Linked DNA regions of Callithrix jacchus. The protein of the gene in region 4 purifies or fractionates together with the protein of the main gene of each other region. This does not show direct contact. Links are inferred from orthologs where the notes say so. Each region holds a gene or a part of one and is shown on either strand. Other genes may lie near its edges.

Region 1 (3,779 bases), on a different chromosome or scaffold from region 4:
AGTTTCTTTCAATCATTCAGAAGGCAAGAGTAGCCACTTATAAAAACAGAATGGCAGGAACAGACTAGGAAAGGAAAGTCAGAAGGGCAGAGTGGGAAAGGAATTTTCAAAAATAAAATTAACAAGGTGACTGTTCCAGAAGGGGGCTGTGAAAAGGATATGGTGGACCGAAGTCTGTTAGTCAAGTAATGATTCAACTTTTAAATTATTCTCTTGTTCTTTTTTGTTGGGTGTTTTGTTTGTTCAAGTCTAAGATTTGGAAATGCTGACCCTTTGTTAACAAGAGCCAACAGGACATATAGGATCCCTTCCCTCCCCCGGCCTGCCTCCGCTGAAGCCACCACCAGCGCCTCCTTGGCTGGATGCTGGAAGAGTCCTCCATGTGTATGGACTCAGGATGACAGGGCAGCCTCCTTCTGTGGTTGCTGGGCTTGTGAACGTTGCAGTATCTTTTGGCTTTCCACGTCTCTAAAATGTTTTTCAACCTGAAAAAGACCAAGCAACCAAGATCAGTAAAGGAGATGGGCAAGAAAGGTACAAACAAGAAAGGTCCCAAACAATCCAACCGAGGTTTCAACAGCCCTGCCCTGGCTGTCCAGCCTATGCACTAGCCAGGCACCCCTGTCCTTGCTGTCTACTGGCCTTTCCAACCACAAGGTAGGCCAGAGTCTCCTGCTTCAGCCACATTTTTTGCAGTTTCCACTAAGACTGGCTAGAAGAGGGTGATTATACAAACTAAACAATAAAATGAGAGGAGATTATCATGACCAAATTCCTCCTCTCTTCTACACAGAAGTGCAGAATGAAAAGCTGGTGGGGGAATTACAGTCTTACCACACTTCCTGCATCTACAATGTTGGTCTCTCAATGTTCCTCAGAGAAAAAAAAAGCAGGAGTGTTTTGGAAATTTGTTTTCACAAATGGTATAACTCAATCTAAAGTCCAGTGATAAATGTAGGGTCAGAGACACCAATGGCAACTGATTTATACCAACCAGATCTTTCTAGAAGGATGCCTGCAGCTAAGAAAAACCCAGTATGGGGCCAGGCACAGTGGGTCATGCCTGCAATCCCAGCACTTTGGGAGGCCAAGGTGGGCAGATCATTTCAGGACAGGAGTTTGAGACCAGCCTGGCCAATATGGTGAAACCTCATCTCTACTAAAAATACAGTAATTAGCTGGGTGTGGTGGTGCACGCCTGTAGTCCCAGGTACTCGGAAGGCTGAGGCAGGACAATCGCCTGTACCCTGGAGGCGGAGGTTGCAGTGAGCTGAGATTGCACCACTGCACTCCAGCCTGGGTAACAGAGCGACTCTGTCTCTAAAAAAGAAAAACCCAATATGGGAAAAGAGAAACTGCTCAGGCCCAATACCATGGAATGGCCTTGCTAATTCTAAAAAGCCAGCAAAGAACATTGGGTCAACCACTCACTTCATTCCACACCACCCCATGGTTCCTCTCCCACAGGAGTGTCCAAGCCACAGCTGCAGAACCCCACAGTACAGGAAAGTCAGGGAGACCACACAGGGCTGCAAGGGGAGGCAGAGACTGTAGCACAGTGTCCTGCTCTGGTGCTAAAGACTGAAGGCCGGAAGAACCATTCTCTCTCCCCTAAAGTTTCAAGGCTCCTTTACTTACTATTTTGCGTACATGGCTCAGTGCACTTCCCTCTTTGCCTTTACAGTTTTCCACTTGATATGGGGGTGTAATAACAACTTCTTCCATGACTACGATGTTTTTTTCTTGCCATTTACAGTCTTTAATGCTGGATGGAGAAGACAGCAGTCAAAATACATGTAACCTCCTTTTGGGGGCATCCCACATCTCCTGTCTGATGAATAAATAATTCCAGAAGGCTGATACCAAGTTCTCAGCTCACCATTAAGCCAACAACTAGACGCCAGCAGCCCACAGAGTAGCCAAGAAACATTCCTTGGGTGCCACTGGCTAGAAAACCAATGAAACTCAGGCACATTTATTCTTGGGAGAGCCCAGAAATTGTTACAATGAAGCATCAGAGACCTGAAAAGTCATAAAAATGTGATGGCAGCCTCAAGAAACCCAACTAAGATAGCAGCCTAGGGCAGAGGCTGGCAAACTTTTTCTCTCAAGGGTCTCTTAGCAAATATTTTAGGCTTTGCCAGCCATATCCTCTCTGTTACAACTAGCACTGAATTCTGCCATAGTTGTGCAAAAGTAGCCATGGACAATAAGTAAACAGATGAGCAGATCTGGCCTGCTGGTATAGTTTTCTAACAATTGGTCTAGGGAAAAATACCACCTTTAGAAAGAACAGGCTGGGTGTGGTGGCTCACACCTGTAATCCCAGCATTTTGGGAGGCCAAGGCAGGTAGACTGCTTGATTCCAGGAGTTTGGGACCAGTCTGGGCAGCATGTCAAAAACCCATCTCTACTAAAAATACATACAAAAAATTAGCCAGTAGCAGTGGCATGTGCCTGTACTCCCAGTTACTCCAGAGGCTGAGGTGGGAGAATCACTGGAGCCCAGGGAGATCAAGGCTATATTAAGCTAAAATTGTGCCACTGCACTCCAACCTGGGCGATTAAAATGAGACCGCGTCTCAAAAAAAAGAAGGCCAGGTGTGATGGCTCATGCCTGTAATCCCAGCACTCTGGGAGGCCAACGGAGGGCGGATCATTGGGTCAAGAGATCAAGGCAACCATCCTGGCCAAAATAGTAAAACCCCATCTCTACTAAAAATACAAAAATTAGCTGGATGTGGTGGCACATGCCTGTAGTCCTCGCTACTCGGGAGACTGAAGCAGGAAAATCGCTTGAACCCAGAAGGCAGAGGCTGCAGTGAGCCGGTATCACACCTCTGCACTCCAGCCTGGTGACAGAGCGAGACTCCATCTCAAAAATAAAAAAATAGAAAACAAACTCCCCATCTTACTATGATCTGTACTCTGACCCTTATCACCCACAATGGGAGCTGCTTCTCAGACTGGCTCCACTCAATTATCAGACAGTTGGGCACTTGCCAGACTGGGAAAACCCATTCCAGTTCACACTTGGGGAGCCCCAGGGCAGCTGATGCGACTGAGAGTTCCTTCACATACCTGTAAATGTTCAGATACTCACACCATGGCCTCAAACAGCTCTGATGCCAGCTGTCATCTGTGCACCAGACCCAGGGTGGTTAAATAGGGGAACAGAAGGCAGTGGGGGGGGATGGAGGGGGGCATCAAATGTTCCAGTTTTGCAGCAGCTAGGGAAGCTAGTGGAGAGTCAAATGACTTCTGCTGTGACAAAATGTCTTTTAAGAGGTGATAAGAAGGTGGCCTACTCTAACTCTCTGTGTTCATCCCAATCTACATTGGGAAAAGTGATATAATTTATCCTTAATAAAAACTGCATCAGCTTTTAGAGAAAGGCACAAAACAACAAAATCAAAGAGAAAGAAATTCACTAGTTCTAAATTATGGACTACTAGGTCTAAAAGGGATTCTTAGGGATGATCTAATCTAAAACTAAGTTTTACAGAAAAGAAACTGAGGACCAGAGAAGACAACTTGTCCATGATTACACTATTCTTCTGTGTGGAAAGTGGGCAACAGCACCTGTATCTCTGGATGCCAGCATATTGCCAATACCCTTCCCAGCTTCCCCAGTAGACTTTTAGGAAGACAACCACCCAAAAGCCTGCCATCAGACAGCACAATCAGGTAGCATTACCCCAGGACGAAGGACCTCCCAGTCCCCTAACTCACGTCTTGTGAATGGTCTGGAAGAGCTGCTGGCCCTCTAGAGAGACACC
Region 2 (3,779 bases), on a different chromosome or scaffold from region 4:
CCTGGCAGTCAAGGTGGGCAGAGGGGACAGGTGTGCCAGCAGCTGAACGCATGGCCTGCATGATGCTGGAGGTGACAGCAGCCTGCTGCTCCTTGAGCGCCACACTCACCTCACCCTTAACAATGCGTTGTACCTGTGCTAAAATGGATTCCTGCAAGCTGCAAAGGTAAGTGAGTGAGGTGAAGTGGACAGGGAGCCCAATCTGGCCTTCCTCAAACCCACCACCCTGCCCACACACCTGCCCACAGCCACGTGCAGCTGGTGCTGCACCTCAGCCCGAACACTGCTGGCCACAGTGGCTGCCATCTGCTCGGTGGCACTCTGCAATGTGCTGACCAGGCCCCGCAGCTGGGCCAGCACAGGCTCCCTGGCCTCCTGTTCTCGTGCCTTCCGGCTCTTCATGTGGCTTTCTAGCTGCTGCAAGTCTGAGGAGTGACCACAGGGAGTGTAAGAGGAACAGTAGGAAAGTGGAGGATAGTCGTTCCCACCTTGGGTCATACGACCCCACTCACATTCCTGTGTCCCCACCCGGAAGCTATCATTGATTTGCTGGAACATGGCCTGGCAGCTCTTCTCAAAGGCTGGCAGCACCACACTCTGGAAGGCTTCTCGGTAGGCAGCCTGCATTGGCCCCTGTAATGTGTCTGCAGCTGCTCGGGCAATAGCATCAGTCAAGTTCTGGAATTAGAGGGAGGGGCCAAGTTGAAAGCCTGAGCGCAGCCTGGCCTGACTAGGCCAGAACCACCACCACCACCCACATCTTGGGCCCTATAGCACCTTGGACTTGAGCAGCTTAGAGATGTTCTCTTTCATGCTGCCCTCCACAGCTGTGAGCTTGGTGGCTACTGAGTTGCTCAGTTGGCCTGCCACAGGCTCCAGACTCCTTGAGACACCTGGGAGAGGGGAATAGGAGAAGGTGGAGCTAGGAGAAACTTGACAGGTACCCCTATTCCCACCTGAACCACCCAAAGGGAGTCTGTATGCAAAACTCACATGGAGGGACTGTCTTCTTGATCTCATCCCGTAAGCTGCGCTCCAGCCGCCCAGCTACAGCTGAAGACAGTGCCTGGGACAACTGTTGTGTCAGCTGCTCCTGCAGCTGCCCTCCCCGCTGCTGCCCCTCAGCCAGTGCTCGCTCCAGCCGCCGCTCTGCACCATAGCTAAGGAACAGGCCTGGAGCAGGTTGTGTACTCCTTCCCAGGCCAAGAATGTTGCCCCCATCCCTATGCCATGTTGTGCTATCAGCCTCAAGGATACGCTCCTGCTCATGCCGAGTCTCAAGGGCTCGTTCTACGTGGCCTGTGACAGTGTTCTGCAGACCTTCGAGCTGGGTACACAGACGCTGCAGCAGCTCTTCTTGGCTGTGCTGCAGCTCTGCCAGCTCTCTCTGCTGTTGCCAAATTAGCGTTGGCCAGTCCTCAGGGGGCTCTGCCACCTGCCAGTATCACTGAGAGTCACATGATGCCTGCCCCACCCATCCCCACAAACCAGACCAGGGAATGGCCCAGAGCCCTTCCCCATCCTCACAGGGTGAAATTCCCATGAGTACAAAGAGCACTCATTTACTTACCTGGTGCTCTGTGAGCCGGGATCCCATGGCCGCATCCCTGCCATAGGCGAGAAGCACCTCAGGCTAGGTCAGGCAGCCTGGAGACCATCCTCCCCCCTCCCTAGGACTCCTCCCTACCCATCATCCTTCTTGCTTTTCCTCTTGAGCTTGGGTGAGGCTCGAGGGGATCCCTTGGTCTTCCAGTCCTTGGCAGGCAGCCGTGGAGCAGGAACTTTGGTGCCAAAGCCTCCTGAAGCAGAGGCAAGGCTGGCCACCTCATCGTCGTGATCACTATGGGAAGGGGAAGGAGGGGTAAGCCCTTGCCCACTTGCTGCCCACCCCTCCATGAGGGCAATGGCATAGGGTGGCATCCACCTTTGCTCAGCACTGGCATCCTGGCTGTCACGTTGCTGCAGCAGGTGATACGGTGGTCGGTGGAAGGACAGGCTCTTGTGCTTTTCCTGAAGGCCATTCCTGGGGCTGGGGGACAGGCTGACTCAGCAGTGGATGATTCTATCTGAAGCCCCTCCTAAAGCCTCCTCCTAGCTAGCACACTTTTCTCCTCCCAAGCTCCTCACCTTTCTGCAAGAGTGCTACAGGTCTCACGAGTAATGTCAGGTGCCGTGGGCCAAACCTGACCATCAGGGGTCGAGGTTTCCTGGGTCAAGGCTGCCTCCAGGAGGGAGGGGGTATTATGCCGATCTCCATCCCCAGGGCCTCCATCAAGGCCAAGCTGGGGGCCGAGCTCAGGCCCTGGCCGGGGCCGTGGGGACAGTAGGTGCAATGCTGAGGCGGCTGAAGCCATACTGTCTGGCTCAAGGCCCTCTGGTGCAGAGGAGCCAAAGCCACGGGACAGGGCCTCAGACGCAATCTCAGGGATGTCCTGGGACAGGGCAGTGGAAGCTGAAGAGATGACATCAGGAGAGCGGGTACGGCTGGGGGAGGCTTGGGGTAGCCCCAGGGGCTCGACTTCCTGCAGCTCCAAGGACAGTGCAGAGGCAGCAGTAGGCACCTAAGGCGGGCCAAAGATGGGGGCTTAAGTGACAGGTGAGGCAGGGATGGGGGACACAGAGACGAGGCACTAGTATTAGTAATGAGAGACAGGGCAGCAGGGAAGTGGGGACAGTCAAAAACGGGGCCATAGCCCAGAAGAGAAAGTGGGGACAGGGAGGCTGAGGAGAAACCTTCCAGGAAACATAGGAGGGTGAGATGACCTCAGGAAAACATGGACTACGTAGGGAAGAGCAGGACCAGCAGCAGGGGGCTGGGAGAAGCCCACCACCCACCTTTCCTGCTGCCACCCACCTACTCCCCACACTTTACACACACCCATTCACATACCTGGCCTGGCCCCTTGGGAGTCAGTTTGTCAGCTGGGGCTGGGAGTAGGCTGGGCAGGAGGCCACGAGGGCTTGCCTGCAGGCTGCCACTGTTGCTCATTGCCAGGCTGCCATCCAGCTGTAGTTTGGGGCTCAAGGTCAGCTCCTCAGGTGGCCTGGTGGGGGAAGACTGAGGTGTCAGCAGCCAGAGCTTGGTGTCACCTGGCACAAGTCCCTGCCATCCTCCATCTCTGACCCTTGCCTCACCTGACCAAGGAGGGGTCCACAGCTGAGGTGCTGCTCATGGCAGACACAGCTGTAAGGGAGCTGCTGCTACTGCTGCTGCTGCTGCTGCTGCTGCTACCACTGCTGCTGCTGCTGGGACAGGCAGTGATCTGGGGAGATGCAGGGAATGAGAGCTGTGGCTGGGGCATTCCCAGGTCCCCCTACCTTGGGAGAGTACCTGCTGCAGAGAGGCGCTAGGTGTCATGAAGGCATCAGGTGTCATCAACTTGGGCTTGGTCTCACTACTCAGACTGAGGAAGTCGGCGGGTGCAGGCAGCTCCACAATTCGTCGGAGGTCAGGCTGGGAGCCGTGAGCAGCTGACCCCAGGCCCTCAGAGCCCAGTTCAGGCCGAGACTCTCCAAATGCTGTAGGACAAGTTGCCACTTGAGTCAGATCTCAGACCCTGGTCAGTCCAACTTACCCTACCTCCCTCTCACGCCCTACTCACTAAAGTCCTCGTGGGCAGTGTGTGTGGGAAGCGGGGCCACTACATCAGGGTTCAGCTGTGGCTGGAAGCGAATCTGCACATCTTGTAGTGCCCTGCAGGAAGATAAGGAGAATAGAGTGCTCCAAGGGCCAGGGTCAGTAGAGTGGAGACAGACACAGACAATGCACTGGTGGGCCT
Region 3 (4,249 bases), on a different chromosome or scaffold from region 4:
ACACATACAAAAAAAAAAAAAACAGAAGTCAAAATATGTTTCTTAAAGCAGATGTATTTCCAGACTTTCAAGAATATTTTGCTATCTCAAAACTTGTCAAACCCAACGCTGCATTTTCTTATTTCACCCTTGCTCTCAGAAACTTATTTTCATTGCTGATACACAAACCAAAGTGAGGCGATTCCAGAAGTTGAAACTTATTTACAAGGAAAGCAGTAAAGTGATTCAAAATTCAAAGTAATTCTACAAGTACATTAACAATCTGCACAAGAATAAATTTCACATTATACAAATCCAACACAGTAAATAAAATTTCACCTATTCATCAAAAAGAATAAAGGCTACCATTTAGGTCTCGAGTAAAAGAATGTAAAGCAAGGAAAAAAATCTAAATTAATCTTAAATTGTTGTAAAGCCTCAAGGAACAGAAAAAGGCCTTGTGGAACTAAAACATTCCAAGTATCTCTCATCACTCAAGCTATTCTGAAGCAAATTCTGCTATAATCTAATTTTTAAGCCTAAGAGTCAATGCAATTTAAAATCCTTAGTTTTAATTTGTATGTATTTGAACAAGTTGAAAATATCTGCCAAATCTCCTTCTAATACCTAAGAAAATAAAAACAATGCATCATTTTCTATAAAAATTGTACTTAAAATTTTTTCATTCCTCACTAGATGCCAACAAAAAAGGGAAAGTGAAGTTACTCTATGAGGGGAAATGATCACTTCACCTGAACTAGTTTGGCTAAGTAGTGGCTGGGATGCTTCAGACTCAGAGAAGTTGGGGGGGGGGGCGGGGCGGGGACGGGACGAGGCTTGTAAGTCAAATAACCGAAGACTATTTCAGCCCCTGGCCCCATTGAAGGCAAGAGAATTCCTTAAAAACCAGCTGATACCTCTTGATGGGGAACTTAAGCTGTAAATAAAAATTATTTAGAAATGGATTGCTGAAAATGTGTGTTCAAAAAGAAAACTCAGGTGCGTGAAAAATCCTCTTATCCCACCTTCCAAAACCCAAGATGTCTAAGGAGGACGCCAGTCATTGGCCCTGCCAAGCCGGCGGCCTAGGCCTAAGGGAGGCACAGTAGCGCCTGCAACACGGATAGACTTGGGGCACAGGGGAAATGGACTTGCGTGCCCTTGGTAAGCTCTGGCGGCACTCCCGAAGTTAAGGACACCGGCCACAATGGAATGGAGTCTATTGACATTTGCTTCTCCGTTTGAACACTAAGCATTTTCTTAGTTCGTGAAATACGAACTGACAATCACCACCCCCCGCCACCCTCAATAGGACCTCCTGCACGAACACACTCTCCAGAGTCAAAACCAGTTAGCCAGGACAACACTGATCCCTCGCCCCGTCTCTATCACAACCCCGGCTTAGGTGGGAAAAAGACACCAATAAACATTTCTGCGTTCAGAAACCACACCACGTCCCCTTCTGCAATCTCTCTCTCCTAGCATTTCCGAAATTGGGGCGGGGATTGGGAAAAGTGCGCAGGGCACCCGCTCCCTGCCACCAGCACCGCCGCCCCGGATCTCCCGGATCCAGCCTGGGTCCGGCCCTCGCCCACCACTGTTCACAGGCGCCTTCTCCACCGCAGCCTCGGAACAGCAATGCGGATCGGCCACCACCCGCGCGCCGGACAGGCCAGGCGGGGGAAGAATGGAGGCCGGGCACTCCCCACCCCTTCCCTTCCTTAGGAGGGGTAAGGCGGAACGCTGCAGGAGGCTGCACGGAGCCCCAAGATTCCACGGGAGTTCGGGAGCCCCCGCCGCAGCCTCGGAATCAAACGGGGAGGGGTGCGGGGGCCAAGGCCCACCTGTCTCCACCCAGTCTTCCGATCTTTCCCAGGACTGGGAGGGGGCGGGGAGAGGAGCCCCGATAGACCCTGATGATTCCGGAGGAGCCCAGTGCCTACCCCTTTAACGCGCACGGGGGACGCGGCCCTAACTTCTCCCCTTCTGAGATGTCCCCCACGATGGGGGAACGACATGTTCCGGAAAACGACACCAAAGCCTCCAGACCCCTCCAACGTTCACACCTAAACTGGGGGTGGGACGCTGCCCAAGCATACCCCTGCTGCGGGAGGAGGGGGCGTGCGAAAGGGGGAGCCAGGGGTGACCACAGCCGCGACCCGAGAACTCCTCCCAACACGCGTGGGGAGGGGAGGCCGCTGGCTCCCTCCATCTTGACCGCTGGGGGAGGGGGCGGGGATGCTGCGGGAGGCTGGACAGGCCTGACAATCCCAGAAGACCCCCGCGGCGCCCCCCAGCCGAGCCTCGGGACTCTGGCCCGGGCGAGTCCCCCACACGCCGCCAGCCCCCAGCCCACCTCGGGCAGCCCTGCCGGTCATGGGGCGGGGACCGCCGCGCGAGCCGCGGGGGAAGGGACACCGGGCCCAGAGCAGAGGGGGCTGGGGTGCCGACACCCACCTGCCCAGGCCGGGCCTCCCGCTGCCAGCGGTCGCCACGGCCGCCGAGGAAGAGGGAGCCGTGGCCGAGGACGAGGAGACAGAGGACGAGGACGGCGAAGGCACGACGGCGGGCGACGCGAGAAGGCCGCTGCCGCCGGGCTTGCGGACATTGGCGGCCGCAGGCGGCTGCGGCTGCTGCTGCTGCTGCTGCTGCTGCTGTTGCTGCTGCTGCTGGGGCTTCAGCGACATGGTGAGGGGCCCATACACCGGCTCGCACGCCGGGCGGGGACAGTCGGGAGCCGGGCGCGCCGAGGAGTCGCCGGAGCGCAGCGGGGACGCGAGAGTGCCGAGCGGGGAGGCGCGGGTTGGCGCGGCCGGGGGGGCGCCCGGGCTGACGAGGGGGAAAAGGAGGACGAAGAAGGGGCGGGGAGGCCCGCCGAGACCGAGGAACCGCCGGAAGCCGGACCGGGATGCGCCGCCGTTGCCGTTGCTACCAAAACAGTCTGAGGCGGAGAGAGGCGAGCGCTGCGGGGAGGGAGGGGGGCCAGGGCCGGGCGGGGGAGGGGCGGCGGAGGGATACGGGCCCGGTACCTCGCCACCGCCGCCCCGCCCGCTTCGCCGTGCCGGCCGCGGGAGCGAGCGCCCCCCGGGCCACCTAGCTGCGGCGAAACGGCGAGGCTCGGTGGCTGCCGCGGAACTCTGAGGAGGTGCGGCCGCTGAGCGCATCGGAGGCTGAGTGCGCCGAGGCGCCGGGTGGGCACGGGGATGCCGGATTGGGACTCTTTACCGGAAGTCGGAGGAGTCGGGCGGAAGCAAATCGTTAGGCGGACCCGGGACCGGGAGGGACACGTGAAGAGCGGGCGCACCGCTGGTCCGCGTTAGCGGGGGTCGGGTGAGGGCCAGGCGGCAGGCCCTTCCCAGGTCCGCCCTCTCGAGGCGGGTCTGCCCTTCGGGGAGGGCGTGTCGGTCTTAGCCTCTGGGGCCTGCCTGGTGTGGAGAACGGCAGGGAAGCATTTTTTCCCCCAGTGTATTCCTTCAACGTCCTCACACTCCTGCAGGGACCTCGTTTGCCCCCACCTGATGCAACCCAGAAAATGAACTGCGAGTTCTTTGGAGTGGAGAATTTATCTTTCTACGTGTAAAGCACCTACAACCCTGCCAGATTCAGGGGGCACACCATCCCGCCGTTTTCCTGCCGGGCACACACTAGGCTCTCCAGTGCCTCTGGGAACCTTCCAGGCAGGCCGCGCTATGCTGTCCTGCTGAGGCTGGAGTGGAGAAACCCTCCGGGGCCACCCACATCTGGGTACCTTTTCCCCACTTTTTTCATCCCAGCCTCGAAAACTCTTCTAGGTATCTGACCTTCATCTGAACTTTTTCCTCATTCACGAGATTCTGAAGGAAATATACGGGACTGAGACTGGTAGAGCTGAGAATAAGCAGACCTCACAAGAACGTGCGAACTTTAGACCTTGTACCCTTTATAAGTTTTAATTTAACTTAGCCAGCCAGCAGAGTAGACCCTTTATAAAATGTGTTGCAAGTAAACTGGAAGCAAGTAGATAACTTTTTTTATCTTGAGCAGCCAATCTAGTGTTTTTGAGTGAAATGACTTCAGGAAATTAATAGAGGAAGAAACACCAAAATTCCCCTTCAATGTCCTAGAATTGTCCAGATAAAGACCTAGAAAAACATGGAGAATGATTAAACCAGCAGTTTTCAGTAGCCCAAATGAAATTAAACTCCTAGATAGTCCAGGCAAAAATGATCATTGTATTCTACCAATGTAGGAAATCAGTTTTATTTCCCATCTAAAGAGAGACTGTCGCAAA
Region 4 (3,779 bases):
TAGAATAATGGTTACCATTCAAATACTGTAATTTAAAGCATGCACTTAAAAGTGACAAATAGCCTACATAATTTCAGCTTAATTTAAAAGGAAAAATGCCCTCTAGTAAGGAGGTGCTTCAATTTTAAAGTTAACAAAAAGTTTTTGAGACTGTTCACAATTGTGTTCTGTGAGTTCAATTCTTAGTTCCCTTTTTGTCTCTGAGTAAAAGAAAAAAAATTATTTAGTTATTTATTTTTGGTAGGCACAGAGTCTTGCTATGTTGGCTAGGCTTGTCTCTTAACTTCTGGATTCAAGTGATCCACTTGAGGGAGGCCTCTCCAAAGTACAGGGATTACAGGCATGAGTCACCTCAACCGGCCAGCTTTTTTTTAAGTGAAAATCCTAAATTCCATAAGCTAAAAAAAATTATGAGTGAATTTTCTATGAGTAAATAATGCTTGGAGTTCGGAAGGTTGGGCAAGTCTTTAAAGCCGCTAAAGACTCAGATTGAGCCTTTAAATTTAATTGAGCCTTTAAATTTAAAACTTAAATTTGGCTTTATCTGCTATTTAACTAGGGTAAGGTGCAGTCATTAAGGACACTAAAAAAAAAAAAAAAACTATACTGACAAAAACAAGATGACTCTAATAATTTTATTCATTTATAACAAACTCAGCTAATAACTTTTTTTGAGATGGTGTTTCGCTCTTGTTGCCCAGGCTGGAGTGCAATAGCTCGATCTTGGCTCACTGCAACCTCTGAATCCTGGGTTCAAGGGATTCTCCTGCCTCAGCCTCCTGAGTAGCTGGGATTACAGGCATGCACCACCACACCCAGCTAATTTTGAATTTTTAGTAGAGATGAGGTTTCTCCGCATTGGTCAGGTTGGTCTCAAACTCCCAACCTCAGGTGACCCACCTTGGACCCCGCAAAGTGCTGGGTTTACAGGCATGAGCCACTGTGCCTGGCCATAACTTCTTCACTAATTATGAAAGCCAGAAATGTCTCAAAAAATAATTTATACAAAATTTGTGTATGTCATCTGTCCTTAGAATCATTACTTGCTAGAAAAATTATGGCAGAAACACACTATTCTATTGCAAATACCTACTGGCCATAAAACAAAGTAATCTATCCTCTATTTGTAATCAAAACTGTTAAATTCAGGTATAAGTATTAATAGTCAACACCAAAGAAACAAAAATCTTGGTTCCCCAAGAGTGTTTATGATTTATTCTAACACTTACTTAATAGTGGTGGTCATACTCTGTGCTTGCTGCTGAGTGCCATTATTGATTGTGTTGGTGTTTTTCAGCTGGTTCATCTGTTGCTGTGTCTGTGTGCCCCCTCCTCCAGGGCCACCACTGGGTTTCACAGGGCCCCTCAGCTGACCATTTTGACTGGACAGACCCATTATAACAGGGTTCTCTGTTCTGGCCGTGCTCATGCTGTTTTAGTTGCAAAGATGTCTTTCAAACTTCAAAACTTTTGAAAGTCAGTAGAGAAACTGTAATAACAGTTTATTAGGCTCTCCAAAATGAAGAGATAAATATGTCTTGCTCAATAAATGAGTCCTTTATTGCAATGCAGGCAAGCACCTGTTAAGTCTCTGAACGGTAAGCAGCAGTAACTTGCTCTCTTGCACGGAATCAACTTTTTATTTTGAAAAAGCCTTCTAACAAGCTTGAGTTATATTTGAATTCACTCACGTCAATCTGAAACAAACAAACAAAATTAAATCAGTAAACTCAACAGAAAAACTGTTTTCTTTTCAAAAGAATCCCTTTAGAAGAACTCTCATCTTTTACATTAAAGATTTAATACTATAGCTACTTAGACCAAATCACTAGCCAAGCTTGGAAAGACACAACTTTGAACTATTTCAAAAACACAATGAAGCCAATCTAAAACATTTAAAATTGTTAATTCAAAGCAACCTAGAGAAGATTAGGTAGAAAGACACGAGTAAATTAGTACTACTTGTCAAATGACAATCTCTTCTCTTCAGTTTCCTCCCCAGTGAATTCGCTGAATCTTTGACATCTCTGAAAGTCAGTGATTCATTATACTTAATTGCATTACAACTCACTGAAGTATCACACAATTTACTTAGTGTAAACCTGTATTTGACAAGACAATTCATTAATTTTCTTCTACTTCTAATATCAACTGAGAGTCCCTATAGATTTAAGTGAGCTTTGACTTGAACTTTACACTTCTCAGAAAAAAAAAAAAAATAGACCGTTGTGCCCTTATGAATTTCAACTATTAAACTTTATAGGTTGGGCATGGTGGCTCATGCCTGTAATCCCAGCACTTTGGGAGGCCAATGTGGGAGATAACTTGAGGTCAGGAGTTTGAGACCAGCCTGGACAATATGGTGAAACCCCATCTCTACTAAAAATACAGAACGTAGCCTGGCGTGGTGGCGCACACCTGTAACGTAGTCCCAGCTACTCTGGAGGCTTGATCCCAGGAGGTGGAGGCTGCAGTGAGCCGAGATCATGCCACTGCACTCCAGCCTGGGTGACAGAGCAAGACCCTGTCTCAAACAAAACAAACTTGAAGAAAAATGTATTTTCTTTTCTCTTTTGTTTTTGTCCTTTAAAACAATAAAGGAAACAGTCAAGAGAATAGTGTATTTCTGCCATAATGTATTCGGCAAGTAATGATCCTAAGGACACATGATACACACAAATTTTGTATAAATTATTATTTTTTTTTTGAAACTGACAAAAACAAGATGACTCTAATAATTTTATTCATTTATAACAAACTCAGCTAATAACTAATCTGATTTTACATAGTATTAATTAAACAGGAAAATTCCTGTGCTAAAAAAAAAAAAAATCCATGAAAGACTAAACGCATTAGTAATTTAAAGAAAACTTTCCATCTGGGTGCGGTGGCTCATGCCTGTAATCCCAACACTTTGGGAGGCCAAGGCGGGTGGATCATGAGGTCAGGAGTTTGAGACCAGTCTGGCTAATACGATGAAACTCCGTCTCTACTAAAATACAAAAATTAGCTGGGCATGGTGGCATGTGCCTGTAGTCCCAGCTGCTCAGAGGTCTGAGGCAGGAGAATTGCTTGAACTTGGGAGGCAGAGGTTGCAGTGAGGAGAGATGGCAAAACTGCACTCCAGCCTAGGTGACAGAGCAAGACTCCATCTGGAAAAAAAAAAAAAAAAACTTTCCAAGAAACCCAGAGTAGTAAATCTAATTAATACTTAAAACAAAACAAAACAAAACAAAAAAAACTGGCAGATGGGCACAGTGGCCCAGGCCTGTAATCCCAACACTTTGGGAGGCACAGACTGGTGGATCACCTGAGGTCAGGAGTTCGAGACCAGCCTGACCAACATGGTGAAACCCTGTCTCTACTAAAATACAAAAATTAGCTGGGCTTGGTGGCAGGCACCTGTAATCTCAGCTACTTGGGAGGCTGAGGCAGGACAATCGCTAAAACCCAGGAAGCAGAAGCTGCAATGAGTCAAGATGGCGCCCTGCACTTTAGCCTGGGCAAAAAAGCAAAACTCTGCCTCAAAAACAAAAACAAAACAAAAATGGCCAACCTCATTTTAAAATTATCCTGTAAATGGAAATCTCACATTTATTTATTTATTTATTTATTTTGGAGACAGGATCTCACTCTGTTGCCCAGGCTGGAGTGCAGTGGCCCGATCTCAGCTGATTGCAACCTCCGCCTCCTGGGTTCAAGTGATCCTCCTACCTCAGCCTCCCGAGTAGCCGAGATAACAGATCCGGCTCATTTTTGTATTTTTCGGTAGAGACGGG
Region 5 (4,545 bases), on a different chromosome or scaffold from region 4:
CGCGCCCGGCCGCATCCCTCTCTTAAGATGCCAGGCTTCTTGCCATTTGCTCTCTTAGCTCACCACCATTCTGCCTGTGCTCTGCCTTCATCCTGCTGTTTATTTGTTCAGCAAATATTAACTGAGCAGCTGCCCTGAGCCAGGTGCTGTACCAGGCCCTGATGATACAGCAGTGACCAAAACAACATCCCTATCTCAAAATGTTTATGTTCTAATGAAAGAGACAGACACATACAAATAAGTAAACATACTTGAGAGAGATACATGCTATGAAGAAAATGCAAACTGAGTTAAGGGGATGTAGAGTGATGTGGGTGGTATTATTTTAAACAAGGTTGTCAGGGACGTCATCTCTGGAGGTGATATTTGAGCAGAGATTGGAATAAAGTGTTCAAATACTAGTTGAATTAGACGTGACTGGAACAGAACGAGAAGCAAAATCATGCATGTCCTTTGAAGCAGTCTGGTTTCCTCTCTGTGTAACATGGGATCAGTAGAGTGAGTAGAGAAAGGACATGATCTGAGTTCGATTTTAACAAGTTCTCTCTGGCTGCTGTGTTGAGAATAAACTAGAGGGCAAGGGTTGACACAAAAGCAACTTTTAGAAGGCTGCTGCAATAACTTAGCCAGAGTAATCGCGGCTTGTCGTGCAGCTGTAGGGATGGAGATGAGGAGAAGGGGTCAGATTTAGGAAATATTCTGTAGACATAACAGAGGTGTACTCAGAACAGATGTGGAGGCAAGACAGAGGTCAAGGCTGACTCAAGGCTTTTAGTCTGAGCAGCTGAGTAAAAATGGTACCTGTTACATCAATGGGGAACGGTGGTGAAGGAGCAGGTTAGAGGAGAAACAGGGAGCATGGCTTTGGACCCTTAACGTTTGAGATACCAATTCCACAGAAATCGGAGTTCACGGAATTGATCCAAGTTACAGACTGATACTTGGGATTGGTGAGTTGCAATGGCGATGCAAGCCATTAGGCTGGTTCAGACCAGATGAACGAGCGGGACAGGGCGAGCTGAAAAACTGGGTCCTTTTGAGAGCCCCAGCTCCAGGAGCAACCTCAGGGGAAACTTCCTGGGCGATGGCTGCGGTAATGGAGCCGTGGAAGCTCCACGAGGTACAGGTTCAGCGTCTTAAAAGGATGAGCAGCGACTCGCCAAAGCTCGGAGGCAGGTGGGTGGGCAGCGCTCCAGACGGGGGGCCTCGCGTCGGCAAAGACACGGGACCCACGACAAAGAGGCCGCGGCCTGGGTCAGGAGGGCCGCGCGCCTCCTCTCCAGCCCTCAGCGAGCGGGTGCCACGAGGCACTCAGCAAGTCCCCGAAATTCCTCTCACGCTGCCCCAGGACTGCCGTCGTAGCCCAGGTAAATAGGCGCTGACAGGACTCCCGAAGCCGCCAAGCAGTCGGGAACCACCCGCCACCTGCCAAGTCTCGCGAGGGCGCGGCCTCGCCCTCCCAGCATGCTCCGCGCCGCCGCCGCTGCCGCCGCGGCCGCCGCCGCGCCGCGACTTGAGGGCGGGAGGCTGGGGGAGGGTAGCGGAGCCGGCACCGTCGCCATGTTGGGTCTGAAGCGGCTGCTGTAGGCGCCGACCTAGCGAGCGGGCGTGCGGAGCGGGCGACAGCGGCGTGGGATCTGCCTCTCTGCGAGCGGCCCGGGGCGGCGGCGGCGGCGGCGCCATGAGCGGGGGCACCCCTTACATCGGCAGCAAGATAAGCCTCATCTCCAAGGCAGAGATCCGCTACGAGGGCATCCTCTACACCATCGACACCGAAAACTCCACCGTAGCCCTCGCCAAAGGTACGTGGGACCGGGCCTCGGGGTGGGGGTCGGACCGGGCGCCACTCAAGGCTGCTCCCCGCTCCGGCCCTCAGCCTCCTGGCTCGCTCCTTCCCCTCCCTCCGTGGAGCTCCGGGAGGCCGCTCCCCTCCATTCTCCGGGCCCTGGCGTCGCGGGCCGGACCGCGGCCTCCCCGCGTCTCCCTGGCTTCCGCCCCCCAGGAAGGTCCGCGCCTGAAGCACGGGGAACTACGGGACTGAGTACGCGGCGGGCGGGCGTGCGGGCGGCCCTGAAGTCCGACAACGGGCGGGAGAACACGGAGAAACGGGTCTTCCAACTCCGAGATTCGGGAGTTCTGTTGTCTTAGCACAAAACAAAGCCCGAGTATTCAAAGAATTTTTTCGCCCAGCTTGAGTTCATCGTGGATGCGTTGACTCCACAGCACCCATTTTCTCACTTTATTCATTTCTGTTCGTGGCGATCTTCCTCAGGAGAACTCTGAGTAATGTGCTAAAACTTTGGGTTTGCTCTGCGACGCAGACATTTTCGAAATGCCATCGGTGCAGTGGAGCAGATCCCATCTCCCTCGGCTCATCCTCTGTTGGTATTTACCTGTTAAACCGGAATTCTCAAAGCCTGTTGTGCAACCATCTTCATTAGAGCGTGCGGTAAAAATGTTTGCTGCTTCCCGGACGCCCCTGCTTCTGGAAACGAGTTCAAGCTTGTCCGGGACCCTTCTTGATCCAGGCGATCTTGACCTTTGATCCAGGCTCAGTGGGCATTGACTGAAGGCTCGTTGGGAAAGGGAATTCTGTCGAGAAGGAAGGTGCCCCTACCCATAGTATTAATATTTGGCATCCCTAGAGTCTGTGTGGGTTTTGTTTCCGTTCACACGTGCAGGGCCTTTGCTCCTCCAGGAAAGCAGAAAGAAAATAAACGTTAGCTCCTGAATCTTAAGGAAATCTCACAATAGTGTAAAATATTTTGGGGGAAGCTAGATAACCTAGGTGATTTTCCCAGCGCTTCTGGTAGAGGTGGGAACTGCATAAGCATGCTTAGGGATCCTCTAGATAGGTCATAGGTACAAGGATAAGGAAGATTTTCATAATCTGTAAAATTTTTTAAATCTTTAACTGATAGGGGAGTGGTTTCACGGAATCAAGTATTTCAGGACATTTCTTTGGATGCTTTGGTAAATCCCTTTTTTTTTTTCCTCTCTCTCCTTCCCCTGAGATGGAGTTTCGCTCTCTTTGCCCAGGCTGGAGTGCTGCAATGGCATGATCCCGGCTTACTGCAATCTCTGCCTCCCGGGTTCAAGCGATTCTCCTGCCTCAGCCTCCCAAAGTAGCTGGGATCACTGGCATCCGCCACAGCGCCCTGCTAATTTTGTGTTTTGAGTAGAGACGGGGTTTCACCAGGTTGGCCAGTCTGGTCTTAACTCCCGACCTCAGTTGATCAACCCTCCTGAGCCTCCCAAATTGCTGGGATTATAGGCGAGAGCTACCACGCCTGGCCTCTGGTAAATCTTTTTAACAGCCCTAGTACTGGAACAAATTTTACACCTGGGTAGGGAACCTTGATGTTATAGAACTGTACACAGTAAGGGAGTAGTACGAGATGGCTACAGTTGCACAACTCTGCAGATTTGCTGAAAATCATTGAATTATACACTTTGAAATCACCAAGTCTAATTTTAAAAGTGTGAAAAACCAGGGAGTACCCCTAAATTTCCCTGTTCACCTTGTGAAACATTGTGTTGTGACACATTACCTCATTAAAACAACTGTAGGAGGCCGGGCGCGGTGGCTCAAGCCTGTAATCCCAGCACTTTGGGAGGCCGAGGCGGGTGAATCACGAGGTCAAGAGATTGAGACCATCCTGGTCGACATGGTGAAACCCCATCTCTACTAAAAATACAAAAAATTAGCTGGGCACGGTGGCGCGTGCCTGCTAATCCCAGCTACTCAGAAGGCTGAGGCAGGAGAATTGCCTGAACCCAGGAGGCGGAGGTTGCGGTGAGCCAAGATCGCACCATTGCACCCCAGCCTGGGTAACAAGAGCGAAACTCCGTCTCAAAAAAATAATAAAAATAACTAAAAAAAAAAAAAATAAAACAACTGTAGGCTTAGGGCTTTGTCATCTTTTTAGACATCCACTATACTTGAGGATGTATGATGGTGTTTAGTGGTTATTAAAGACTTTCCCAGTGATACTTCTTAAGTAACTTAGTTTTTGATTGGCCTTATTTTTTATTTTTTAATAGTAGATATTTAGCTGTGTAGTATTTTTCTGGCTTTATGAAATTATGAAAAAGCCTCTATGAAGTTATGAAAAGTGCTGGATCAGAGCCAGATATGGGTTGAAAATAATTTCTCATTAAAGTTGTTTAATAAATTTTTTTTAAGTGTTGCTTTGCCTAATCTGAATTTAAAGTGTCTTGCCAGTTTAGTGACTCAATAAATTGGCTGTGCTATCTTCACGCCTCACAAGGAAAAAAAACATACATTTGAAAATTTCTGAAGTATTTTCGTTCTTTTTTAAAAACTATGAACATATCCTTTTATGCAGGAACCCCAAAAGTCTACACTTTAACCCACATTTTAAAAACTTTTAAGCAGCTTTGAGTCGATAAATATTTCATTAGTCTGTAATAGTTAAATTCATTCGACATAAAATATAAATTTGTTTTTTGTGTCATGACTTGATAAATATAGGAATAGGGCAGTAAAAAAAATTTTTAATCATTGAATTTTATGTTTGAATT
Region 6 (4,560 bases), on a different chromosome or scaffold from region 4:
TACTACACTATACACACAAACACGCTACTCACACACGGAACATCCACTCTACACTACACACACACACACAGCATCCACTCACTACACACACACATGCACACACAAAGCATCCACTCACTACATCACACACACACACAGCATCCACTCACTACACAGAGCATCCACTCACTACACACACACACACACAGAGCGCATCCACTCACTACACTACACACAGAGCATCCACTCACTACACACACGCACACACACAGCATCCACTCACTACACTACACACACACAGAGCATCCACTCACTACACCACACACACAGAGCATCCACTCACTACACTACACACACACAGCATCCACTCACTACACTACACACACACACACAGCATCCACTCACTACACTTACACACACAGCATCCACTCACTACACACACACACAGAACATCCATTCACTACACTACACTATACATACACACGGAACATCCACTCTACACACACACACACACACACACACACACACACATGCATGTGTGCACCAGGCTCCCCAGCTCTCCATCCTTAAGAGCCATGCTACACAGCACAGGCCACCTACTGTGCACTACAAGAATCACCTTCTGTCGGAACAGCAACAGCCTGGACAAAAGCTAAGCCACTTTAAATCAAAAGGTTATTCCTCCCTCACACTGAGCACCTGACCCGACATGCCACCACGCTCCATGTGGAGACCAGCATCTCTCACAGCGTGCACACTGGGGCAGTGGCACACTTACCTGAACAATGGCAGGATCCTGCGGGAGTGTGTGCTGAGCTTTCGGAGGTTCACACACAGTGATATCTTTGATGTCACTTCCCCGGAAAATGATGTACTCATAAATCTCTTCTCTGGGGGGAGCAGGCCTATCTGTGGGACGGTCTTCGGTGCCAAAGGACCTCACTTACGAGTGGAGAAAGAGAAGCGTTAAGGTGTTGTCCTCAGCCAGTTCAGTCAACCCTCACGCAACTGCTCTTAAGCCTTCCAGAAGACGGTGGCACCTGCTCAGAGCCACAACACAGCACCCCAGCTCCACATTTCAACATCTACTTAACACCCCCATTTTCAGTGTACAATGCTGATTGCGCATCAATTGGTGAAGCTCCAGACGGTTCTATATCACAAAGATGACAAGAACTATTTCGCTGTCTCCTGTGCGAACACAGAGCTCTCAGCAAAACAAGGCCTGCTTCGCAAGGCTTTCCTGTTCACTCCAGACTCTGCGAATCAAACGGCCAGCCTGCTGCTTTATGTCCGAAGCTTCACCACTAGTTGCGCCTGGAGGGCGGGGGGAGGGGATAGTTTTCGGGCAAAGGAACCTAGACGAGCGAGTGTTCCCCTTACCCTTCCATCCACAACAAGCCTTGGAACAGCTGCCACAGAAACAAGGGAGACAGAGTGCCGGGATTGCGGACCCCTGACCCCAGCTTCCGCACCTCTAAGGAATTCTGAGCCCGAGGGACTTCTTGGGGTACCAGCCCCTAAACAGCAGGCTGGCAGGAGCCCCACCGAGTCTCTTTTTAGCAGGCCTCCAGGGGCAGAGCTGGGAGGGACAGCAGCACCACTCCTGCTGAGTCCTGGGCCTACGCTGGAGCTCAGCGTCCCTCGCTGGGCTCTCCTGCAGTGAGTGCCCAGCCCTGGCACGCTCCGCGAGCTCCTGAGCCACGCAGGAGACGGGCTCCAAAAGCTGACAGTCCCAGTTTGGGATGAGTGCGTCCTGTGACCCAAGCGGCGTTTCAGACGCGTCTGACCCCTCAAGAACCCGGGGAGCCGAGCGCCAGACCCAGACACGGGACTTAGGCAGTCCCGGCTGCACTCGCACCGTTCGCTGAGAGGCAGGGAAGGGCACTCCCCATCTTCTCGGGGTATGAAGACAAAGGGACTGCACCACCCGCTGCCCCAACCTCAGCGTCTGGCCCTCCGGAGTCAGAGAAGAGCCCCTGCCTCGAAGCCTCCCAGCGCCCACAGGCGGCTGCCACCACAGGGAAAGCCACACGGTGGGCATCGGGTGCTCCTGCCCGGGCAGCACGCTGCACTAGAGCACAGGATGCGTTCGCTCAAGGCCCCAACTGTCTGATGGGTTCCAGAAAGGATCGCCGGATTCGCGCGTGGTCACGCCGCCCCCCGGCCCCGAGGCTTCCCCGCAGGGACACCCGAGGCGGGCAGGGAGCAGCCCCACTGCCGGGAGCCACCCTGGCCCTCGGGGCCCGCACCGGCAGGACCGGGCTGGGCGGCCGAGGGGGCGGCGTCGCGGGGCCCAGGCCCGTCCCTCCCCAAACGCCGCCCAGGGAGACCATTGTGCGGCCGGCCGCGCTGGGGGAGGGTGGCGCACGGGAGCGGCGCCCCGAGGAGCGGGTGAAGGCGCGGGCCGCGGGTCTCAACGCCGGGCGCGGGGACGCTCTGCGGGCGGGGTCTGGGCGCTGGGCTCTGGGTGTACGGGGGTCTCAACGCAGGGCTCTGGAGCGCCCCGGGGCTGTTGGCGGACAGGGGTCGTCGGGCGGTTGGGGCCGGCGGGCAGGCGGCGGCTGCTACCTTTGGCGAGAGCCACGGTGGAGTTGTCGGTGTCGATGGTGTAGAGGATGCCCTCGTAGCGGATCTGCGCCTTGGAGATGAGGCTGATCTTGCTGCCCAGATACGGGGTGCCTGAGGAGCCGCTCATGGCGGCGGCCGGGGCGCGTTGGGCCGCCGGGAGGGAACAAGCGCCGGGCCGCGGCCCGCTCCGCCACCGCGCGGTGGCCTGGCCGCCCGCTCCCGCGCTCCTCCGCCCTGCCGCCGCCGCCGGAGCGCCTCCTCGCCGCCGCCCGAGGGGCCTGCGCGGGCACCGAGCAGGAAGGGCTCTCGGCCGGGACTCCGAGGGGAACGCGGGGGAGGAGGGGGCCGCCGCATCCACATCCGGGGCCTCGAGCCGCTACGCCCCGCCCCCTCGCGCTCGCCGCCCATTGGCTCGCTGCGCCCGCCGTCCTTTAAATACGGCCGCGCCGCCAGCTGTGGGCGCGCCCGCGCGCCACGCCTGCGCAACAAGGCACCGCTGCTCGGAGGCGGGTCTTTTCGGCGCTCCGCCCCTTCACGTCTAGCTCCCGGCGGGCCCTGCACGGAGCTGGGCACTAGAGACTCAGCAGTCCGGGGGAGGGGTGGGAAGCGTCCTGGACGGAGCGCGCGTGCGCGTGGGTGGGCGGCCGCTGTTTGCACGCTTGGTGGGCGGGGCCTGGGAGGAGCGCCAGGCCCCGCCCTCGCGTGTGCCGGCGTGGCCCCGGAGCCTGGGCACGGCCAACTAGGGGTTTTTGCCCCCTTGGCCTCAGTTTCTCCTCCTACAGAAGTGGGGCCAAGGCGACTTCCTTATCTTGGGCCAGTTGCGCCCCTGACCCTCACCCTCGTGGGAGACCCGGGACCGGCGGAGGCCCTGGTCGCCGGGTGTTCCCGGGGAGTCCCGGGACTCCCGCCCGGGTGCCCAGGTGCCGGCGGGGGGCGGCAACTCCTGCGACGGCTACGCTTCCGGCGTGGCAGCCACTAAATATAACATGCTGAGCACACTTTCTCTTTTAATCCTGCCACTCCTCCGAAAGCCTGCCGCAGCTTTCCAGTTCCACTAAAATAAATTCTGACTGGCTACCGGGGGCCTCGGAGGCCTCCGCTCGTCCCCGGGACTATGGCTCAGAGGCCTTGCCCACCTCCCCGGCCGTGGAGGAAGCTCAGCCGCCCGCAGTCGTTTAGCCGCGGGCCCTCCGCGTGATTAGTGACAGAGGGCGTGCGGTGTGTGCTTTTTTAGTCTCCCTCTTGACCGTGAACATCTTCAGATCAGGGACCAATATTGGGTTCCGGAAAAAAAAAAAATCGTGGGTGGTAACTATAAAAACGCGATAGGCCTGGAGCCAAGGCTCACGCTGTAATTCCAGACTTTTGGGAGGCGGAGGCGGGTGGATTACTTGAGGTGAGGAGTTCAAGACCAGCCTGGGCAACATGGTAAAACCCCGTTTCTACTAAAAATACAAAAATAATTAGCTGGACATGGTGGTGGGCACCTGTAATCCCAGCTACTGGGGAGGCTGAGGCAGGAGAATCGCTTGAGCCTGAGAGGTGGAGGTGGCAGTAAGCAGAGATGGCACCACTGCACTCCAGACCCCGTCTCAAAAATAAATTTAAAAAATGAAATAGAGTAAGATAAAAAATATCAGAAGGTGTGGCGTGGTGGTTCATGCCTGTAATCCCAGCTCTTTGGGAGGCCAAGGAGGGAGGATGACTGCAGGCCAGGAGTTTGAGATCAGCCTGGGCAACATATGGAGACCCCATCGCTACAAAAAACTTAAAAAAAAAATTAGCCGAGTGTGGGGGCACATACTTGTAGTTCCAGCTGCTTGGGAGGCGGAGGCAGAGACAGGAGGATCACTTGAGCTCAGGAGTTGGAGGCTACAGTGAGCTGTGATCAGACTACTGCACTCAGGGGTGGCAGCAAAACCCATTTCTAAAGGGGGAAAAAAAAGAAAAGAAAATAACAGGCCGGGCATGGTGCCTCACACCTGTAATCCCAGCACTTTGGGAGGCAGA
Region 7 (3,779 bases), on a different chromosome or scaffold from region 4:
CCTCTCAGGAGTTCTTCTGGGGAGTCAGGAGGCTGATAAATAACATTCATTTTTTTCCCCTGAGTTAGAAGCAAATGATAGCTGTAGGAGTCAGTCAGCTAAGGATCAAAATGTCACTTGCATAACTGAAAGGGCTGTTAGAAAACTTGCTTTCAGGTCTGTTTGCCAAGGGAGTTAGACTCACCAGATAGGCAAGGCCGTGGCAGGGCTGAGCAACAGCAACATATCAGCTGCAGAAGCTGAAGATGCGGGCTCTCTGCAGGCTGGCAGATCCTGTCAGGGAGGGACCTAGAAAGGGTGGAGCCACACATCACTCTCCCTCCCAAAGAGAAGTGCATGAGGCTGCAGGAGGGGCAGGGAGTTGCTGTCACAGCACCTCCTGTGCTCCAGGGTCAGGAGGGGAAATGGGTAGGCCCCTATCAAGTAAGGGTGGCAGCTCACATAAGTTGGGAGACCTTTAAGTCAGAGTCATGGACAGCCAGGTCTGAGGAGAAGGTCAGTAGTCCTAAATGCATGTTGCCAAATACTGACAGTCAGCCTTAAAAATAAACTGTCACTCAGAGGCCAAGCTTCATATGCAGAGGGAACAGCAGTCACCACAGCAGACCATACCAGAGCTGCTCAGTGATGCCAGAGGAAGGTGCACAGAGAGTGGAACAAGAATCAGTTACACGTAGACTATTCTCGGCTAGGGAAGCTGTGCACAGGGAATGCTTAGATCACCTGCATCCACTGCTGCAAGCTGTCATGCCATGAGCTGCTCCTGACCCCACCCCTGTGTGTATTTGCTATGAGCAGGTCATCTCACCTCAGCGCATCCCTGCTACAGCAGCTCCTTCTCTGCTCATGTCCCCCATGGTGTTCACACAATCCACCTCCGTCCCACCAAAAGAAAGGGAGAGCGGCCTCTTGCCTGTGGGAGGCCAGGAGCTGCCTGCTGCCACCACCAGCCTCCTCCTGCCCATGCAGAGCCCAGAGCCCTCCGTAATCACCAGCAGCCCACTCACCAAGCTCCAGCTCCAGGAAACACTGCTGTACCTCATTCAGGTAAGCCATCACATCATCTCCCTTTGCACCTGACCACACCTGTTGGCCTCCTGGCTGTGACTTTCAGATAAAGACTTGGCCATGGCCTGCTTAGCTTCCGTGAGAATAACAGGTGTGTGTGTAACAACTCATCCTGACCCCAGTGGCTTCTGTGCTCGTTTAGCTTGGTGCTATTTAGAATACCAAGTGTGGCTTTGGATGTCTCAGCTCTTCAAGGATCTTGTCATTTGAAGGACTGTCTAAGGTCTCCAAGCTGTCACCTATCAGAAGAGAAGGAAGCATACGCTGGTGATTAAGCAGTCCCTGAGAGGACCCTGGGTGCTGCCGGGGGCCTGGAGAGAAAACTCACCATTAGGAAGTAGAGGTGGGAGCAGTCCTGGGCAAGGGGCCGTCTGCCGAGTAGGGAACAGGTCACTGAGCGAGTGGAAAACAGGGAGGGTAGCAAGTAATGGCTGTGGCTGCTGCAGGTGCGTTTTACAAGTCATTTTGAAATCTGCTCATTAGGATGGGATGGAGCGACAAGACTCCTTGTGAGCCATCGTCTCACTTGTCTATGAAATTGTGAAATAATAATGAGTACAGTAATAGCTTACACTCCATAGAGCTGGTGCCGGGCCCTGTTTTAAGTGCCACACACATATTAACTCATTCACTCCTTACACAACAACCCTGTTATTTTTCCCATTCTGCAGAAACGGAAAGTGAGGCTAAGCAACTGGTGAGGCACACAGCTTGTTCATAACACAGCGGGGATGCTCCATGCTGCCATGTGGCTCGGCTGCCCATCTATGCTGCATGTAATGAGCTCTTGCTACCATGCAGGCCCCTAGCCTGGCCCCCGGAGTGCCACTTCCCATATGCTCTCCCGTGGGCCATACTCTCCACATGAATGTTACCAGGGACCAGCCTCAGGAGAACATTCAGCACAGGGGCCCTAGCAAAGCACACCCAAAAAATAAATGGTAGGCCTTGAAAAGTGGAATATTTGTAGCCAGACAGACTTGAGACACCCCAGTTAATGTATTTAGATGTCTTTTTAGTAGATAGTCTTTAAGAAAACTTTTGTGGCACTTTGCTTAAACATCAAAGTGGCCTCTAGAGAGCAGGCTAGCCCTTCTGCGGTTGTCCTGTCCTACTCAAAAAGACAGTGGTCTCTATTAGTAAAACATTTTTTAAAAGCCTACATGTTGGCCAGGCGCAGTGGCTCCTCACACCTGTACTCCCAGCACTTTGGGAAGCCAAGGTGAGAGCATTGCTTGAGGCCAGGAATTCAAGATCAGCCCGAGCAACATAGCGAGACTACAAAGGAGACAGTTTGAGAGAGAATGAAAGGAATGGACTAGAAAACAGCAGAAGTGTAATAATCAGATACAAAGAAGGTCAGCAGCAAATAACTGAGCCTCACTAATTCATAAATAAATATCAGGATAAAAATATTTGCCACCTTTTAAAGCTATTCATGGTAAGCTCATGAGGAATTAGAAAGGACATCTATGAACTTCTTTACTTTGAGCAAATTTCTTAAGTTTGAATTTAAAAGGTTCATATGTTTTTCTGGCTCATTCCATTCAGATCACATTGTCTTGAGACTCTGATAATCCAGAGTAGTTGCTGAACACGGCTGGTTAGAAATTCCATTCCCCCTCCTTCCACTGTCGGAACGCGTTTTACTTCTTCCTGTGTACTAGACCTCATCTTCCCAGTCACTCACACAATCTGTTTTTAGTCTCTGCCTCTTGTTAGGATGCAGTCTCATGCATAGGAACTTTGTGACTACTTTGTAGGAAAAAAAGGGATAACATCACTCTCTTCATTGCATGAAAATAATGCTAACTCTGTGTGGGGTGCGAAGAGGGAATGAAGGGGGAATGTGAAGTGTGGGTGAATTACTAATGCTGTAAAGAATTCGAGTGGGAGGGAGAAGTCTCTAGAATTAAAAAATGAAGAAAACCACTGATTAGACCATGATTCCCACTCTTTGCCAGGCAAAAGAGCCCAGAGACTACCAGTCTTATTCCTGCCCACTTGCCAAGGCCAGAAACTTTCCATAACTTATGGAAAGACTTACGTGGACTTTGATGAAGTACTGATGAAGCATGTTGGAAGTAAAATGCTCAGTAATGCCCAAAACAAAGTAAAACCATTGCAGGTAACGTGGAGGGCCTTTAAACACCACAGTGGCTCATGCCTGTAATCCCAGCACTTGGGGAGGCCAGGAGTTTGAGACCACCCTGAGCAACATAGTGAGACCTTGTCTCAACAAAAAACTGACAAAGAAAAGCCAGGTACGGTGGCACACACCTTGTAGCCCTAGCTACTTGGGAGACTGAGGTGGGAGGATCACTTGACTGCAGGAGGTTGAGGCTGCAGTGAGCTATGATGGCAGTACTGCACTTCAGCTTGGGTGATGGAGTGAGACCCGGTGTCAAAAACCAAAAAAAAAAAAAAAAAAAAAAAAACAAGAAACAAAAAAACACACCACCTGGATCATGTCCTCCTAACTCCTCTGTCTGCTGGGGCCCCTTATCTTTGCAGACCCAGGCTGTTCTTGAGTAAACCTTGTTCCATGCTGCCATGTGGCTCGGCTGCCCACCTGTGCTGTATGTAATGAGCTCTTGCTACTGTGCATACTGACCGTGGAAAACCAGCAGCTCTGTCCGGCCTTGCCTCAACCCCACATAACATTCACACATGTAATTAAAAACCACCAGCTGTTAGATCAGACGGGGAGA

What was found.
Region 1: the proteins of DDX6 (region 4) and LSM12 purify together in Homo sapiens (affinity purification with mass spectrometry; 5 studies listed by BioGRID and IntAct, with this or other methods). This does not show direct contact. The link is inferred for Callithrix jacchus from reciprocal best matches to the Homo sapiens genes DDX6 and LSM12.
Region 2: the proteins of DDX6 (region 4) and EDC4 purify together in Homo sapiens (affinity purification with mass spectrometry; 4 studies listed by BioGRID and IntAct, counting the BioPlex papers as one, with this or other methods). This does not show direct contact. The link is inferred for Callithrix jacchus from reciprocal best matches to the Homo sapiens genes DDX6 and EDC4.
Region 3: the proteins of DDX6 (region 4) and ATXN2 purify together in Homo sapiens (affinity purification with mass spectrometry; 6 studies listed by BioGRID and IntAct, counting the BioPlex papers as one, with this or other methods). This does not show direct contact. The link is inferred for Callithrix jacchus from reciprocal best matches to the Homo sapiens genes DDX6 and ATXN2.
Region 5: the proteins of DDX6 (region 4) and LSM14A purify together in Homo sapiens (affinity purification with mass spectrometry; 4 studies listed by BioGRID and IntAct, with this or other methods). This does not show direct contact. The link is inferred for Callithrix jacchus from reciprocal best matches to the Homo sapiens genes DDX6 and LSM14A.
Region 6: the proteins of DDX6 (region 4) and LSM14B purify together in Homo sapiens (affinity purification with mass spectrometry; 4 studies listed by BioGRID and IntAct, counting the BioPlex papers as one, with this or other methods). This does not show direct contact. The link is inferred for Callithrix jacchus from reciprocal best matches to the Homo sapiens genes DDX6 and LSM14B.
Region 7: the proteins of DDX6 (region 4) and DCP1B purify together in Homo sapiens (affinity purification with mass spectrometry; 6 studies listed by BioGRID and IntAct, counting the BioPlex papers as one, with this or other methods). This does not show direct contact. The link is inferred for Callithrix jacchus from reciprocal best matches to the Homo sapiens genes DDX6 and DCP1B.

What each region holds. Positions count from the first base shown.
Region 1 is NC_133506.1:70,883,335-70,887,113, forward strand, and holds part of LSM12 (protein LSM12), read right to left. Parts: coding exon 3,733-3,779; intron 2,414-3,732; coding exon 2,318-2,413; intron 1,766-2,317; coding exon 1,639-1,765; intron 486-1,638; coding exon 393-485; 3' UTR 1-392. UniProt on the Homo sapiens protein: Nicotinic acid adenine dinucleotide phosphate (NAADP) binding protein. Confers NAADP sensitivity to the two pore channel complex (TPCs) by acting as TPC accessory protein necessary for NAADP-evoked Ca(2+) release.
Region 2 is NC_133521.1:25,412,149-25,415,927, reverse strand, and holds part of EDC4 (enhancer of mRNA-decapping protein 4), read right to left. Parts: intron 3,695-3,779; coding exon 3,603-3,694; intron 3,520-3,602; coding exon 3,332-3,519; intron 3,264-3,331; coding exon 3,136-3,263; intron 3,045-3,135; coding exon 2,891-3,044; intron 2,562-2,890; coding exon 2,128-2,561; intron 2,042-2,127; coding exon of another isoform or gene 2,030-2,041; coding exon 1,925-2,029; intron 1,841-1,924; coding exon 1,688-1,840; intron 1,608-1,687; coding exon 1,571-1,607; intron 1,436-1,570; coding exon 994-1,435; intron 894-993; coding exon 778-893; intron 679-777; coding exon 513-678; intron 426-512; coding exon 239-425; intron 159-238; coding exon 1-158. UniProt on the Homo sapiens protein: In the process of mRNA degradation, seems to play a role in mRNA decapping. Component of a complex containing DCP2 and DCP1A which functions in decapping of ARE-containing mRNAs. Promotes complex formation between DCP1A and DCP2.
Region 3 is NC_133510.1:114,460,411-114,464,659, forward strand, and holds the start of ATXN2 (ataxin-2), read right to left. Parts: upstream 2,923-4,249; 5' UTR 2,667-2,922; coding exon 2,437-2,666; intron 1-2,436. UniProt on the Homo sapiens protein: Involved in EGFR trafficking, acting as negative regulator of endocytic EGFR internalization at the plasma membrane.
Region 4 is NC_133511.1:18,428,898-18,432,676, forward strand, and holds part of DDX6 (putative ATP-dependent RNA helicase DDX6), read right to left. Parts: intron 1,698-3,779; 5' UTR 1,430-1,697; coding exon 1,230-1,429; intron 1-1,229.
Region 5 is NC_133523.1:30,894,749-30,899,293, forward strand, and holds the start of LSM14A (protein LSM14 homolog A), read left to right. Parts: upstream 1-1,681; coding exon 1,682-1,802; exon of another isoform or gene 1,803-2,085; intron 2,086-4,545. Other genes in the region: uncharacterized protein LOC144580722, read right to left, coding at 1,312-1,683. UniProt on the Homo sapiens protein: Essential for formation of P-bodies, cytoplasmic structures that provide storage sites for translationally inactive mRNAs and protect them from degradation. Acts as a repressor of mRNA translation. May play a role in mitotic spindle assembly.
Region 6 is NC_133506.1:57,684,565-57,689,124, reverse strand, and holds the start of LSM14B (protein LSM14 homolog B), read right to left. Parts: upstream 2,909-4,560; 5' UTR 2,678-2,908; coding exon 2,551-2,677; intron 922-2,550; coding exon 758-921; intron 1-757. UniProt on the Homo sapiens protein: mRNA-binding protein essential for female fertility, oocyte meiotic maturation and the assembly of MARDO (mitochondria-associated ribonucleoprotein domain), a membraneless compartment that stores maternal mRNAs in oocytes.
Region 7 is NC_133510.1:15,181,043-15,184,821, reverse strand, and holds part of DCP1B (mRNA-decapping enzyme 1B), read left to right. Parts: intron 1-798; coding exon 799-1,047; intron 1,048-3,032; coding exon of another isoform or gene 3,033-3,098; exon of another isoform or gene 3,099-3,327; intron 3,328-3,779. UniProt on the Homo sapiens protein: May play a role in the degradation of mRNAs, both in normal mRNA turnover and in nonsense-mediated mRNA decay. May remove the 7-methyl guanine cap structure from mRNA molecules, yielding a 5'-phosphorylated mRNA fragment and 7m-GDP.